3 linked regions of the Cricetulus griseus genome follow. The protein of the gene in region 2 purifies or fractionates together with the protein of the main gene of each other region. This does not show direct contact. Links are inferred from orthologs where the notes say so. Each region holds a gene or a part of one and is shown on either strand. Other genes may lie near its edges.

Evidence for each region.
Region 1: the proteins of Fbxo10 (region 2) and Pde6d purify together in Homo sapiens (affinity purification with mass spectrometry; 3 studies listed by BioGRID and IntAct, with this or other methods). This does not show direct contact. The link is inferred for Cricetulus griseus from reciprocal best matches to the Homo sapiens genes FBXO10 and PDE6D.
Region 3: the proteins of Fbxo10 (region 2) and Acsl4 purify together in Homo sapiens (affinity purification with western blotting; 3 studies listed by BioGRID, with this or other methods). This does not show direct contact. The link is inferred for Cricetulus griseus from reciprocal best matches to the Homo sapiens genes FBXO10 and ACSL4.

Annotation. Positions count from the first base shown.
Region 1 is NC_048595.1:438,252,332-438,256,420, forward strand, and holds the start of Pde6d (retinal rod rhodopsin-sensitive cGMP 3',5'-cyclic phosphodiesterase subunit delta), read right to left. Parts: upstream 2,882-4,089; 5' UTR 2,714-2,881; coding exon 2,664-2,713; intron 1-2,663. UniProt on the Homo sapiens protein: Promotes the release of prenylated target proteins from cellular membranes. Modulates the activity of prenylated or palmitoylated Ras family members by regulating their subcellular location.
Region 2 is NC_048595.1:98,366,553-98,370,969, reverse strand, and holds the start of Fbxo10 (F-box only protein 10), read right to left. Parts: upstream 2,879-4,417; 5' UTR 2,781-2,878; intron 1-2,780. UniProt on the Homo sapiens protein: Substrate-recognition component of the SCF (SKP1-CUL1-F-box protein)-type E3 ubiquitin ligase complex. Mediates the ubiquitination and degradation of BCL2, an antiapoptotic protein, thereby playing a role in apoptosis by controlling the stability of BCL2.
Region 3 is NC_048604.1:38,224,989-38,228,617, forward strand, and holds part of Acsl4 (long-chain-fatty-acid--CoA ligase 4), read left to right. Parts: intron 1-39; coding exon 40-178; intron 179-1,546; coding exon 1,547-1,697; intron 1,698-1,800; coding exon 1,801-1,924; intron 1,925-3,477; coding exon 3,478-3,549; intron 3,550-3,629. UniProt on the Homo sapiens protein: Catalyzes the conversion of long-chain fatty acids to their active form acyl-CoA for both synthesis of cellular lipids, and degradation via beta-oxidation. Preferentially activates arachidonate and eicosapentaenoate as substrates.

The sequences.
Region 1 (4,089 bases), about 340 Mb from region 2:
ATGTTTGGGGAGGATTAGGAGGTGTGGCCTTGTTAGAGGCATGTTACTGGGAGTGGGCTTTGAGGTGTCAAAAAAACTTTCAACGTTCCCAGTTATCTTTCTCTGCCTAATATTTGGGGATCAGATGTCAGCTCTACCACGCCTACTTACCTGTAGCCTCTAACCCTCTGAAACTGTAAGTCCCAATACTTTTTCTCTAAGTTCCATTGTTCAGTGTCTCATCACAGCAACAGAAAAGTAAGATAAGTGGTAAGCACAAAAACTTTTCCAGAAACAATCTGAAAACAGTTCAGAAAAAAAAAATCCAACAAAGGGAGGCCAGTGGTCAAGTTGTTTCTAACATAAAATTATCTTTTAAAAAAATGAAAGCAGAAGTCTGAGTGGGGTGTGGTGGTAGTGGCAGCATGCTATATAGCTTTTCTACACTTCAGCTATCCACATCTGCTTATGGGCCCTATTATAAAGACAAACAGAAACATCCATGGAACTATAAAAGGGTCTGTTACTAAACTTCATGATCTAAAATCATTGAGCATTTATCATGAATGGCAATATGTAAGGCCTTCTGTTTTTAAACAGCATAGCAGGGCAACTCATTTTCCAGTCCCCTCCCAGCCACAGGGAACGGTTTCTTTTCTTCTCATACACTCGGCTTGCTTGCCCTTAAGACCAAACCATCAAAACCTCAGAAGATTAGTTTTGCACTTGAAGTGTTTTCATTTTTGCACATAGAACTTCCTGTGTTGCTTTTCTCTCCCTGGTGCTACAGAAACCCAAGACCTTGTTTATACTTCCAGTCCACTCCCCCACCACTCTTAGACATGTGGGGTTTTTTTTTTGTTTGTTTGTTATGGTCCTTTTTCTTTTTTTGGTCTTAGGGTCTCTCATTCTGTAGCTTAGACTGGTCTTGAATTCATGACAATTTCCTGCTCCAGTCACCAAGTGTGGGAATTATAAGTATGATCTATCATGCCTTGCCAAGCTTTCTAAATTTTACTATCACCCTTGGTTCCCCCCCTTTTTTTCTGAGATATGGTTTTTCTGTGTAGCCCATCTGTCTTCCTGTAACTCTCTTTGTAGACCAGGTTGGCCTTGAACTCACAGAAATCTGCCTGCCTCTGCTTCCCAAGTGCTGGGATTAAAAGCATTCGCCACCATGCCCGACCATCCTTGGTTTCTAACTATGACAAAGCAATTAAATCCTGGAAGAGGTGAAACAGGTCCTGTGAAGATGCAACAGGTTGCTCAGAGAACAGTGCTTCCTAACCCTTCATGGAAGAAGGGGCTCAGTAAGAGATGGGTACACTGCACGGAGGGAGGAACTTATGAGTATTCCATACTGATGGAAGGAATGTAAGCAGAGATCAAGGTCAGCAGAAGGCAAAACTACAATACACTCTATTTGCATTTTATGGTGGCAAATATTCCACCAAAATACAGAGCTTCTAGTCGGAGGTGCTGGCCCACACTCTGAATCCTAGCACTTCGGAGACAGAGGCAGGTGGATCGCTACTTGAGGCTAGCCCGGTCTACACACAGAGTTCTGGGTCAGCCAAGTTACACACTGTGACCCTGTCTCCAAAACGAAACAAACACTGCAAACCTTTCTTACTATATACAGAGGTTGCAAATGTCGCACTACAACTACAACAGGCCTGAGGTAATTGTTTATTTTCTCTGCCTCCTCACTTTTCTTCCTTTTTGAAGGAGGGTCTTCAGGAACTCAGGCTGGCCTCGAACTATGAAGCCGAGGATGACCTGAATTTCTGATCCTCCTGCTTCTATCTCCCAAGTACTGGGAAAACAGGCATTGGGCACCAAGTCCACCGAGGCAATGATTTCTTATATGACATGGTGTCCTCAACAGAAGTTAACTGTGAACAGCTCCCCTGTGATAAAGCATTAACCGAAGCAATGCCAAGGAACAAAGATAGTTTTGCTAGGAGTCAGTTCAAAACCAAAGTACCTCAAGACATCTCTCACACACACGATCATGCTGGAAAGATAACTTGAGAGGCTGAGGAGAAAAGGGACCATCCAATGCCTCAAAGGCCAAGAAAGTGTTAAGGTGGGGTTGGTCTTATATTTCTCTTTCCCCACCTTCCCACTACTCCAGCCCTACAAGAAGCCACAAGTGAGGAAGAGAAGTTGTGGAAACAAGACGGGTGTTGGTGGTGGAGTGAGATGAGGTACCCAAGAACATGTCCAGTTATCTCACACAAGGTCACTTGCTTGGAGTCACTTTCCCCTGCTCCCTCATGGGCTTCCCGCCAAAGATGCTCCAAAGCAGGTTAGGAGGCCAGCCCGACGCACCCCCTCGGCCTCAACCTGCGGACCACGACCCCCGCCTCCCCAGCCTTCTGGTCCGGACCAGCCCCACAGGACACCGGCTTTTGATGCCTACAACTCTGGCAGCCAGTCCCGGGGCTCCTCCGGTTCCGTCCCCTGAGGCTCCGTCAACGTCCCCTTCCTCCCTCAGGGCGTCCCTGTGCCCGCCTCCCGTTCGCGGTCCCTCCCGGGGGCCCGGCACGCCGTTCCTTTCCAGCCCCCGCTCACAGCCCTTCTTCCCGGTGCCCACCTGGCGCCCCGCCACTGCCCGGCTCCTGCAAGCCCCGGCCTCCTCCCAAGTCCTCCCGGCCCCGCCCCTGCTCCCGGGCGGATACAGTTTGAAGCCTCTCAGGATATCCCTGGCCCGCTCGTCCTTGGCTGACATGATGCGGCGCCTGCCGCCTGCGGCCCTCCCACGCTGGCTCGGCGGGGCCTCGCTGACGGTACCCAGGAACTGAGGACGGAGCTGCTGCCGGGCCGGACACCTCAGGCGAGCAGCGGTAGCGGCCAGACCCGAACCGGCCTCTCCCTCCCCTCAGCTCCCGCTCCTGATCCCTTCTCCTTCCCTCTAGTCGAGGAGCTCCCGCCCTGAAACCAATGGCAAGCCAGCCTTGACGATTGGCATTCCGAGCAGCCAATGGCAACGCTCAGCGGCTTCGCTCGGGGACAGAGAGCGTCAGTGGGAAAGGCCCTCCAGGAGGAGTCCCGGAGGACAGAATTTTCATTCGTGTTGTTGCCTGGAGTTTGTCCCAGCGGAGAGCAGTGGCTGGAAATCTTCAGAGGTTTGAGGAGCCTGCTCCCGTCGCCGGGCACACTTGCGGTCTGAGACTATGGCAGGCTGCTCTGTGCAAAGTGGCAGAAACTACATTTCCCAGGCTCCCAGGGAGTACGGAATCCCAGCTCGCCACTTAGAAGCCAGGGACTACAAATCCCAGCACAATCTGCGCTCCGTCTTTCTAACTTGGGCTCCAGTGTGCCGCGCAGGGTGCGCAAATTTGGAATCCTTCTGTAGGATTCGTTTCTGAATCCCGTTACTTGAAACCCGGCGGGAAGGTCCTCATTCTCCCTGGAGACATGACAGCCCGCCGACAGTTAACTTCTGTTTACACGGAACTCAGAAGTCTGCAAACCATGGTAAGACTGCAAACAACTAACAAAACCACGGATTAAGCCTTGAAAGATAATAGAACAAAATGACTTCCTCAAATAGTACTAATTTATTAGCCTGGAGTGCAGTTTTATGTGTTTTGCAGGGTTTATGTTGTGTTTCAGCTTCGGGCTGGGAGAGCTAAGGATTGTATACCCAATGTCAGTATAGGAAGACTTAAAAGAATTTGCCAGCCCAATCACTTTTATCTTTAGTTTTTAAATATGAGGAAATTGAGGACCGGAGAGGCATAGACTGGCCACAGATCACAGCAAGTTGAGACAGAATTTGGCTTTAAGTCTACTGACCTGCAATGTATTCGCTTTGCACTACCCTAGCTAGGGAGGCGATATTTTTAGCAGCATGACAATGTGATTGTTTTTCTTTTTAATGACAGTTTTCCCAACTAGTGTTGAAACACCTAGAGAATAGGTAAGCATTTATTTGGTGGATTTCCTGAACAGAACTATGGTGTGATAGTGTGATATCCTCAGTCTAATAGGTCTTGCTATTTTGATTTGCTTTTTTTGTCATTCAAGTTGACATTTAATATGATTTTTTTCCAGAAAGTAGGTAAAGTTATTTTAACCTCTGTTTCTTTAAAGATGGCTATG
Region 2 (4,417 bases):
GAAGGAAGGAAGGAAGGAAGGAAGGAAGGAAGGAAGGAAGGAAGGAAGGAAGATACAGCCCTTTCATTCAGATAAAAGGCTTGAAAAGAGGAGAATCTCAGTGATCTGTGGTGACCCCGAAAGCTAGAAGAAGCCAGCCAAGCAGCAGACTCAAGGCAAAGGCCAACAAGTGGAGCTTTGGGGAACACAAAGCTAAGCACGTGAGCATGAACTAAAAAAAGCTGCAAACTCAGATCCAAACAGGGGATCTTACTGACATAGATAGTGCCCTAAAGGGCACTGAGCAGCAGTTACCACACATCCTTGAACTGTGCAGGGCAACTCCTCCATAGTGACAACTCATAGCTGTCAGATAACAATCTGGGTATACCACTTACCACTCTCACTCCTCTGAGAGGTCCTCTTTGGGCTACAGAAGCCTCTCTAGAGGTTAGAATCCTTACTAATGAGGGTTTTGGAAGACTTGGGAGGGTACTTGGAAAAATAATGTGTGACTGCATTAGTGTCCAACTTGAGAAATAAGACAAACAGGTTAAACATCTAAACTGAAATAGATGGATCCCAAACAAGTGTTTCTCTAGCCCCTTTATGTTGACAATCCCATTGTCAGGTGAGTAGGGAAACAAATCCCGCTAACAGGGAAAGCAGCAGCTTGTTCACACAAAGCACATGGTAAGTGACTCAAGAGGAAAAGGCTCATCCATGAAGGCAAACTCAAGCAACAAAATGCTATCTAGTGTTCCTCTGTGACTGGGGCCCATTAAAGGAACATGTTTCTTTCTTATCTCCTTTGAAAAGCGGGTGAGGTGTTCTTTGTTGCTCAGGGCACTGTTACTCTGCCTATGACAGCTCAAGTTGGTTCACCATTTACACCTTTCCAGAGGGCCACTGCCCTGCCCCTGACTCCTGCCAATGCCCTCAGTTCTGTGCCACACACAGCATTGCATCATCATCATCAATGGGTTGGGCCAAAAAGGGATTCTACCATCTCCCAGGCCAAGGTCTGTCTCTATTTTATCTATTCTTATTGCCATCCCTCTTCACACTGTCACCATTGAAGGGAAGGATGAAAGGAAGGAAAAAAAGAAAACGGAGATGATGTCTGCACTACAACTGAAAAACAAAACCAGAAAGCAGGACTTGGTGGTGAGCGACTGGTGGTTGGCCACACAGCTCAATAGCTACTGGTGCTATCATGAAAATGTAATTCCCCTGATAACCATGGAAACCAAATGAAGGAACTATGCTGAAGGCTGCTCTCTTTAGATAGCTAAAAACAATAAGAGGCCAGAAACCAGAGGAACAAAGAAATGCAGGCATTCTAGGCCTGTGGAAATCCTTCCCTAAAAGCTTCAACAACGTACCATTTTCTCCAGTTTCTAAATCTCATCAAGCTTCCACCAGGCCTGGAGACGTGACAAGGTTCATGAAACAATTCAAGCCTCTCTTGCATGTGGGTACCCTGGGGCCAGCTGCTGTGAGGCAAGCTCCCTGGGAGCTGGAACTTATTGTTATCATAAAGCATACTGAGACCCAGCAGACACACACACACACACACACACACAAAACAGACTTTTATATAATCTCAAACTAACATAGTCAGCTATGGAGACAGCTTCATGGGGTCAGACACCATTGTCTGGTTCATAGCTTTATCTCATCCAGCTCCTTGTCGACGTACAAATACGCAGCAGGAATAAACGAGCATGGGAAAGCACAAGCATTCTTTCTACTACCCAGAGCCAACAGTGTTGAAGTGTGAGCAAAACCAAAGTCCTGGCCTCCTTCTGGCTCGTTTCTTTATGTGCAGGAAACAGCTGGATTACATGGGTTCCTAGGCATCTTCCAGTAGACTGTCAATCACTCTACTGTGCTTTTTTTGATGGGAGCACATGCCTGGCAGTTTTCTTTCCCCTCAGAGGGAATCTGATACCCATCTGCTCAAGTAAATTAGCGTTCCCATCCTGCCTGACTCATTCGGTAGGAACAACAGGTTCACATGCCAATGTGAAACAGAAGGCAAAGGGGGCCTGGGAAAGGGGAGAGGGTTCTACAGCCAAAACCCGTACTGTTTTCAGGATCACAAACACAGTGGATGGTGTGCTTACTGCAAGAAAGACGTCTCTCTTGGAGAGTCCTCTCTAGCTTGCTATTTTAATAATGCTCATGCCGAGAGAACTAAAGAGCCCTCTGTGCCCGCACCGTGCTCATCTCTTCAGCTTAATCCTCATAGCAACCTCTGGCTGACGTACTGTCTCTACTTTTAACGAAGCACCATCGACGTGGCTCAAGGTTGCCTGGCTAGTGGGTGGTGGAACTAAAACCAACTCCAGAGTTCTGGCTCATCAAATGGCTTTGCCATCAGTTCTTCGATGCAGGAGGGAGGCCGGGCAGCGGTTATCCCTCTTTCAAAGATTTTAGAAACCAAGTCTCCGCGATTTGCTAAAACCAAACCCACTGGGTGTCCGACTGCACACTGGCTCTGGCATCCCAGGTGAAGGCTGCAAACCGCAAAGGAGAATGAATTCTGTCGCACACCAGCAAAACCCTGGGGCTGAAGGCGACCGCGGGTGGTCCCGGGGAAGGAGGGGGGACCAAGGCACGGCTCTCCTGGAGCTCCGGCGGCCAAGCCCCCCCTCTCCCCCCCGCACTGCCTCAGGCCGGGTCCCCGCACCCCAGCCACAGGCTTGGCCCACGGCAGGACGGAGAGGCCGGTGGCCTGGAGCATCAGCGGGCTCCCGGGAGGCCTCCGGGGCGCGTCGAGGAACCCGCGCTCTTACCTCAGGGAGCGGCGCTGCGGGGCCGCGGCCGCGACGCCCTGGAAGCCGCAGGGCTGCCCAAGGACTGCGGCGCGCCGCCAGGAGGACCGACTTCGCCGCGAGCCCCGCCCCCGACAGCTGTCACGTGATGCGTGGGTGGAGCTCCGCTGCGAGCGCGCGACCCGAGCCTGGAGGCAAGGCGGAGCTAGCGGGGCTCTGAGAAGGGCGAGCGTGGCCTCTGAAGGGGCAGGAATAGCATCCGTGGGCGAGAACTGCAGGAGGATTCCAAGCGGTCAACGCGGATCCTTTCCTGCACGATTAGCCTAACAGCCCATGGGGCTCGGTGCGGATGAGCACATAGGAGCTGGGTTAAGCGGCCGAGCAGACTGACCCTGGCTAGAAGTCAGGAAGGACACTGGGGCCATGGGTTGGTTGTGTGGAAAGCTCTTGGTATAACAATGCATGACGCATGTAAATGATGTGTAGTAGTTGTTGGTGTCACTACTAGTTATGGGCCCAAGAGAACAAAACTGTGATGGCGCCTGCTCTGAAATCCATTCTATGGTGGAGATGGTAAACACAAGCTGCTATTTAAGTTCATATGAATTTAAAGTTATGTGAACTACGTGGAAGGGGCCTTGGTTTAAAACCAGGGGTTGAGGGACTTGATGAGAGTAGTCATATGGAAAAGGGGCAGGAAAAGTCTGTGTGAGAAAGCTCGTGAGCCAAGGGAGGCAAGATTGCTCCTTAGAGAAACACAAAGAGTTGCGGTTTTTTTAACAACAAAAAAATATTTTTTAAAAAAATCTGTGTATGGGTGTGCACTCTGTGCTTACAGGGGCTATTGGAAGCCAGAAGAAGGAGCTGGATCCCCTGGAACTGGGAATATAGACAGTTGTGAGCCGCCAAGGGAATCCTGGGCAAGAGCAATACACCTACCTCCTAACCACTAAGCTGCCTCTCCAGCCATGTGCAGGCACCCACCCCCAGCTCTGTCTGAGATCAAAGGGTATTAGAGTGGAGGCCATTGAAGGGGTGGAGAATGTGGGTGTTTGGACCCTGCTACTCTAGTGGAAAGCCAAGAGATTGGGCTGAAGTACTGGTGTGGATATGGGGACTCACAGATTTGAGACGGTTTTGCAGTAGAGTCTAATTTGGGCTGTTGTGGAAAAACTAGGGAAAATTCAATCTTCTAGCTTACCATAGATCCAGGAAGTGCTATTTGCAAAAACGGGACTGTCATAAGGGGAACATAAAGGTGGAGGATCAATAACTCAGTTGTGAACTTCTTAAGTTTGTGATGCCTATTAGCATCACGGTCACTGATTTTCAAGAGCAGCTGTGTGTGTGTGTGTGGAGGGGGGGTAGGAGAGATGGTCCAGCTGTTGAGAGCACTGGCTGCTCTTGGAGAAGACCCAGGTTTTATTCTCAGCACTCATGACAGCTTACTACCCTCTGTAACTCGACCCTCTTCTGGTCTCCTGGGGGTAACAGGCACACTTGATGCACAAACATACACACAGAGAAGCACACATACGCATAAAATAATTTTAAGATAAAGAAAAATAAGCATCTGGGCTGGAGAGATAGCTTAGCAGTTATGGTACTGGCTGCTCTTCCAGAGGACCTAGATTCAATTCCCAGCACCCAACTGTCTG
Region 3 (3,629 bases), on a different chromosome or scaffold from region 2:
ACCAAATTGAATAGCTGGCTTTTATTTCCCATTCAACAGGCGGCATTATTAGATATCAGTTGTGTCAAACATATCATTTATGTGGATAATAAGACTATCAATAAAGCAGAGTACCCTGAAGGGTTTGAGATTCACAGCATGCAATCAGTGGAAGAGTTGGGATCCAAGCCAGAAAACTGTAAGTGAATCAGTTAAAGTTAATTTCCCCATTTATTCGTGTTAGCTAATTTAATAGATTAGTAAAAGAAGTGACATTAGTAAAAATGCCAAAGCTGTTTAATGTTAAAAGTGATCAAGACTGTATATGACTGAAATTTCTTTTTCCTTTTTCCTGAAGAAGGCAATCTTGCCTGAATTTTTTGAAGACAACAAGCAGACTTTAGGTTAGAGTTGAGGTAGTCTTTTTTCCTTTAAAACTGTAGTCACAATATGAATTTGTATCATAGAAAAGAAGCCTGTGGGTAAATATTGTATTTTTTCACTGTTCTGGACAGTAAGCATGCCTATTATTCACACTAGAAGAGTGTACATCCTTTGAAAAGACAGTCCAGAGCAAATCAGCACCTCTACTGGCTCAATGCACAGAAATGGAAGAGATCCATGGAGAATTGTCTGTTGTCACCAGGTTGATATTGCAAGATTGGTGTGTGCTTGACTGGGAAGTTGTGATCAGCAGGGCCTTCTACTGCCAGGTCTTAGGCTTCACCAGAGCATGACACAAAAGCTTAGAAGATACATTATCAGTTCTCCCAATTTTGATTGAGAGTTGACATGAATCACTAACATCCATTTGTCTCCATGATAGATAGGATTTATAATTTTTACATGAGTATAGTCATTATCATAATAATAGTATATGTAGAATTATAATATATACTGTAGTTTGGGTTTTATAAGGACACATTTGCATGCTTATTCAAAAATAGAGGAGAAAAGTCGTGTTGTGTGCTTGGTGTGAGGACAATATAATGTGCCAGCCCATAACACTTTGCTGCTGCTTCAGTTCATCCTCAGATGACTTTTACCAATGGCCATGAACTTCCTGAAGGAGCTTTTGCTATAGCCTCTTTAAGTATATAACACTGTTTCTGATCATTTCATTGGTATGCTTTGCTCCCCACCCTTCAAGATGGGGTTTCTTTGTGCAGCCCGGGCTGTCCTAGAAATCACTCTGTAAACCAGGCTGGCCTCAAACTCTGCCTGCCTCTGCCTCCGGAGTGCTGGGATTAAAGGTGTGTACCAACATGCTGGGCTCTGAACCATTATTTAAAGCTAAGGAATCTATACATGGTGCTATTCTTTCAAAGCCTTAGAAACCCTTCCCAGTTCTGTACATAACACTGTGAAGAGGCTTGGTCATTTGGGGCTTAGACTCACCATCCTGATGGAATTTGAAATCTTTATTTCAGTCAACTGAAATTTGGTAAACATACTGTTTATTAATCCAGACCAATTTAGAAATGTTCCATTATGTTGAATGAAAATTCCTTCTTGTCAAGTAATTCACCCTTTGAACTGAAGATATTGTGCTTTTTCATTTATTTAGCAAGCATTCCTCCAAATCGACCAACTCCTTCAGACATGGCCATTGTCATGTACACCAGTGGTTCTACTGGCCGACCCAAGGGAGTGATGATGCATCATAGCAATTTGATAGCTGGAATGACAGGCCAGTGTGAAAGAATACCTGGACTTGGGTAAGAGATATCACTCAACTTAGGAATGCAGAGGTCATAATTAAGTTATGAATTTAAAGTGCCTTTTCAAAGTGGTTAATCTGTTTCTCTTTTTTTGTTTTAGACCAAAGGACACGTATATTGGTTACTTACCCTTGGCTCATGTGCTGGAATTGACAGCAGAGATATCTTGCTTTACCTATGGCTGTAGGATTGGATATTCTTCTCCACTTACTTTATCTGACCAGGTGACAAAATTTCACTTTGCTCATGATTTATTCAGTACAAAGGTCCCTGTGGCATCAAACATAGCTTTCCATGAATAATGTAGTACTAGTGTTGATTTAGGTCCATGTTTTAAAATAATTTTGAAAGAATTACTTTCATCTTTCTGAATTAGATTCTACTCTGGAAAATTTATACTGCAAAGTATATTCATGGAATGGTTGGCATACTGTTCAGGACCATTAACTGGTTCTTGGGAAGAGGTATAGGTTTTAAGCCTAGTTTTCTTCTGAACTTATTCTGGACCTGTGCTGCTAGCCCCATCTTTAAATAGAAATTCATTAAAATTAGATTAAAATTTCTTGGTTTTTTTGTTCTATCTAGCCACATTTCAGGTTCCTGATACCTATGTGACTGATTGCTATCATGTTAGACAGCACAGATACAAATATTTGATCTTTGCAGAAAATTCTGTTGGATAGCACTGTAGCATTTCCAAGGCCAGCCCTCAGCTTTACACTGAACCAGGGTTCTCCTTTCTCTCTTCTTGTTCATAGCAGAAAGCCCAACAATGATAGCACTAACTCATAGTTTAAACACATTTGAAATTACAGACAGAAAATAGCTTTATGAAGACAACAATTGAGTTCTACCTATGTGGTAGAACCTATGTTGTACTTCTTATTCTTACAGATTTCACTGTTTTTTGAGAGCTAGTTTTCTTTCCTATATTAGCCTGGTTAATGCATCATTTATCCGAATTTGTAAATGACTAGATCACATTATAGGAGTTTCTTACTTTTCTCTACTTTTTTCAGTGAGTGACTATATTAACTTTCTACCTGTCATTAATCTGACATTTGAAATTATGTTACTTCAAACAAATTGTGCACATTGAGGTGTGTATCTTCATGTCACCACATGCCACAAGCATGAGCCTTACTATGTTACCAACCAGAATATTATCAAATTATTACTTCTGTGTGACGTTAATTGATGTCCATAGTGGTTGTTTTCAGATACATCGTTGTCTTTTGAGTAATCAAAAAAAGTTAAAAATTCCTCCAATGTGCCAGGTGTGGTGGCACATGCCTTTTATCCAGTACTCTGGAAGCAGAGGCAGACAGATGTCTGTAAGTTCGAGGTCAGCCTGGTTTACAGAGTTCTAGGACAGCCAAGGCTACACAGAGAAACCCTGTTTCCAAAAACCAAAAAAGAAAAAAAAAGCCTTTACCTTCAATTTTGTTTTAGTGATAAGTCTGCTTAATGGGGCTTTTTAAAAATTGACATTTTCTTGAAAATTAAGTGTTAATATTTGATGGTGCATTAGTTCACCAGAATGTCTGTTGTTATCCTGGGTCAGTTTCTCTTCTGGAGAAGGCTGCAATGTGCTAGAAATGAAACAAATAGAATAAAATAGAGGAATCACATAGTCTGTGGACTTGCAATAGATGCTGCAATAAAAGATTAAATACTGTGCGTAAATTCTGTCTTTGTTATTAATAATTGAATTAGGCCCCCTACATTTTTGCTAACATCTGTTTCCCTGATTATATTTGTTTTTTCACTAATATAGTCCAGCAAAATCAAGAAGGGAAGCAAAGGTGATTGTACTGTGCTGAAACCCACTCTTATGGCTGCTGTTCCGGTGAGTACAGAATAGTCACACAAATAGAAAAGGGTCATTTATAATAGTTCTTGCTTATATTTCTAATTTTTAAAAAGTGA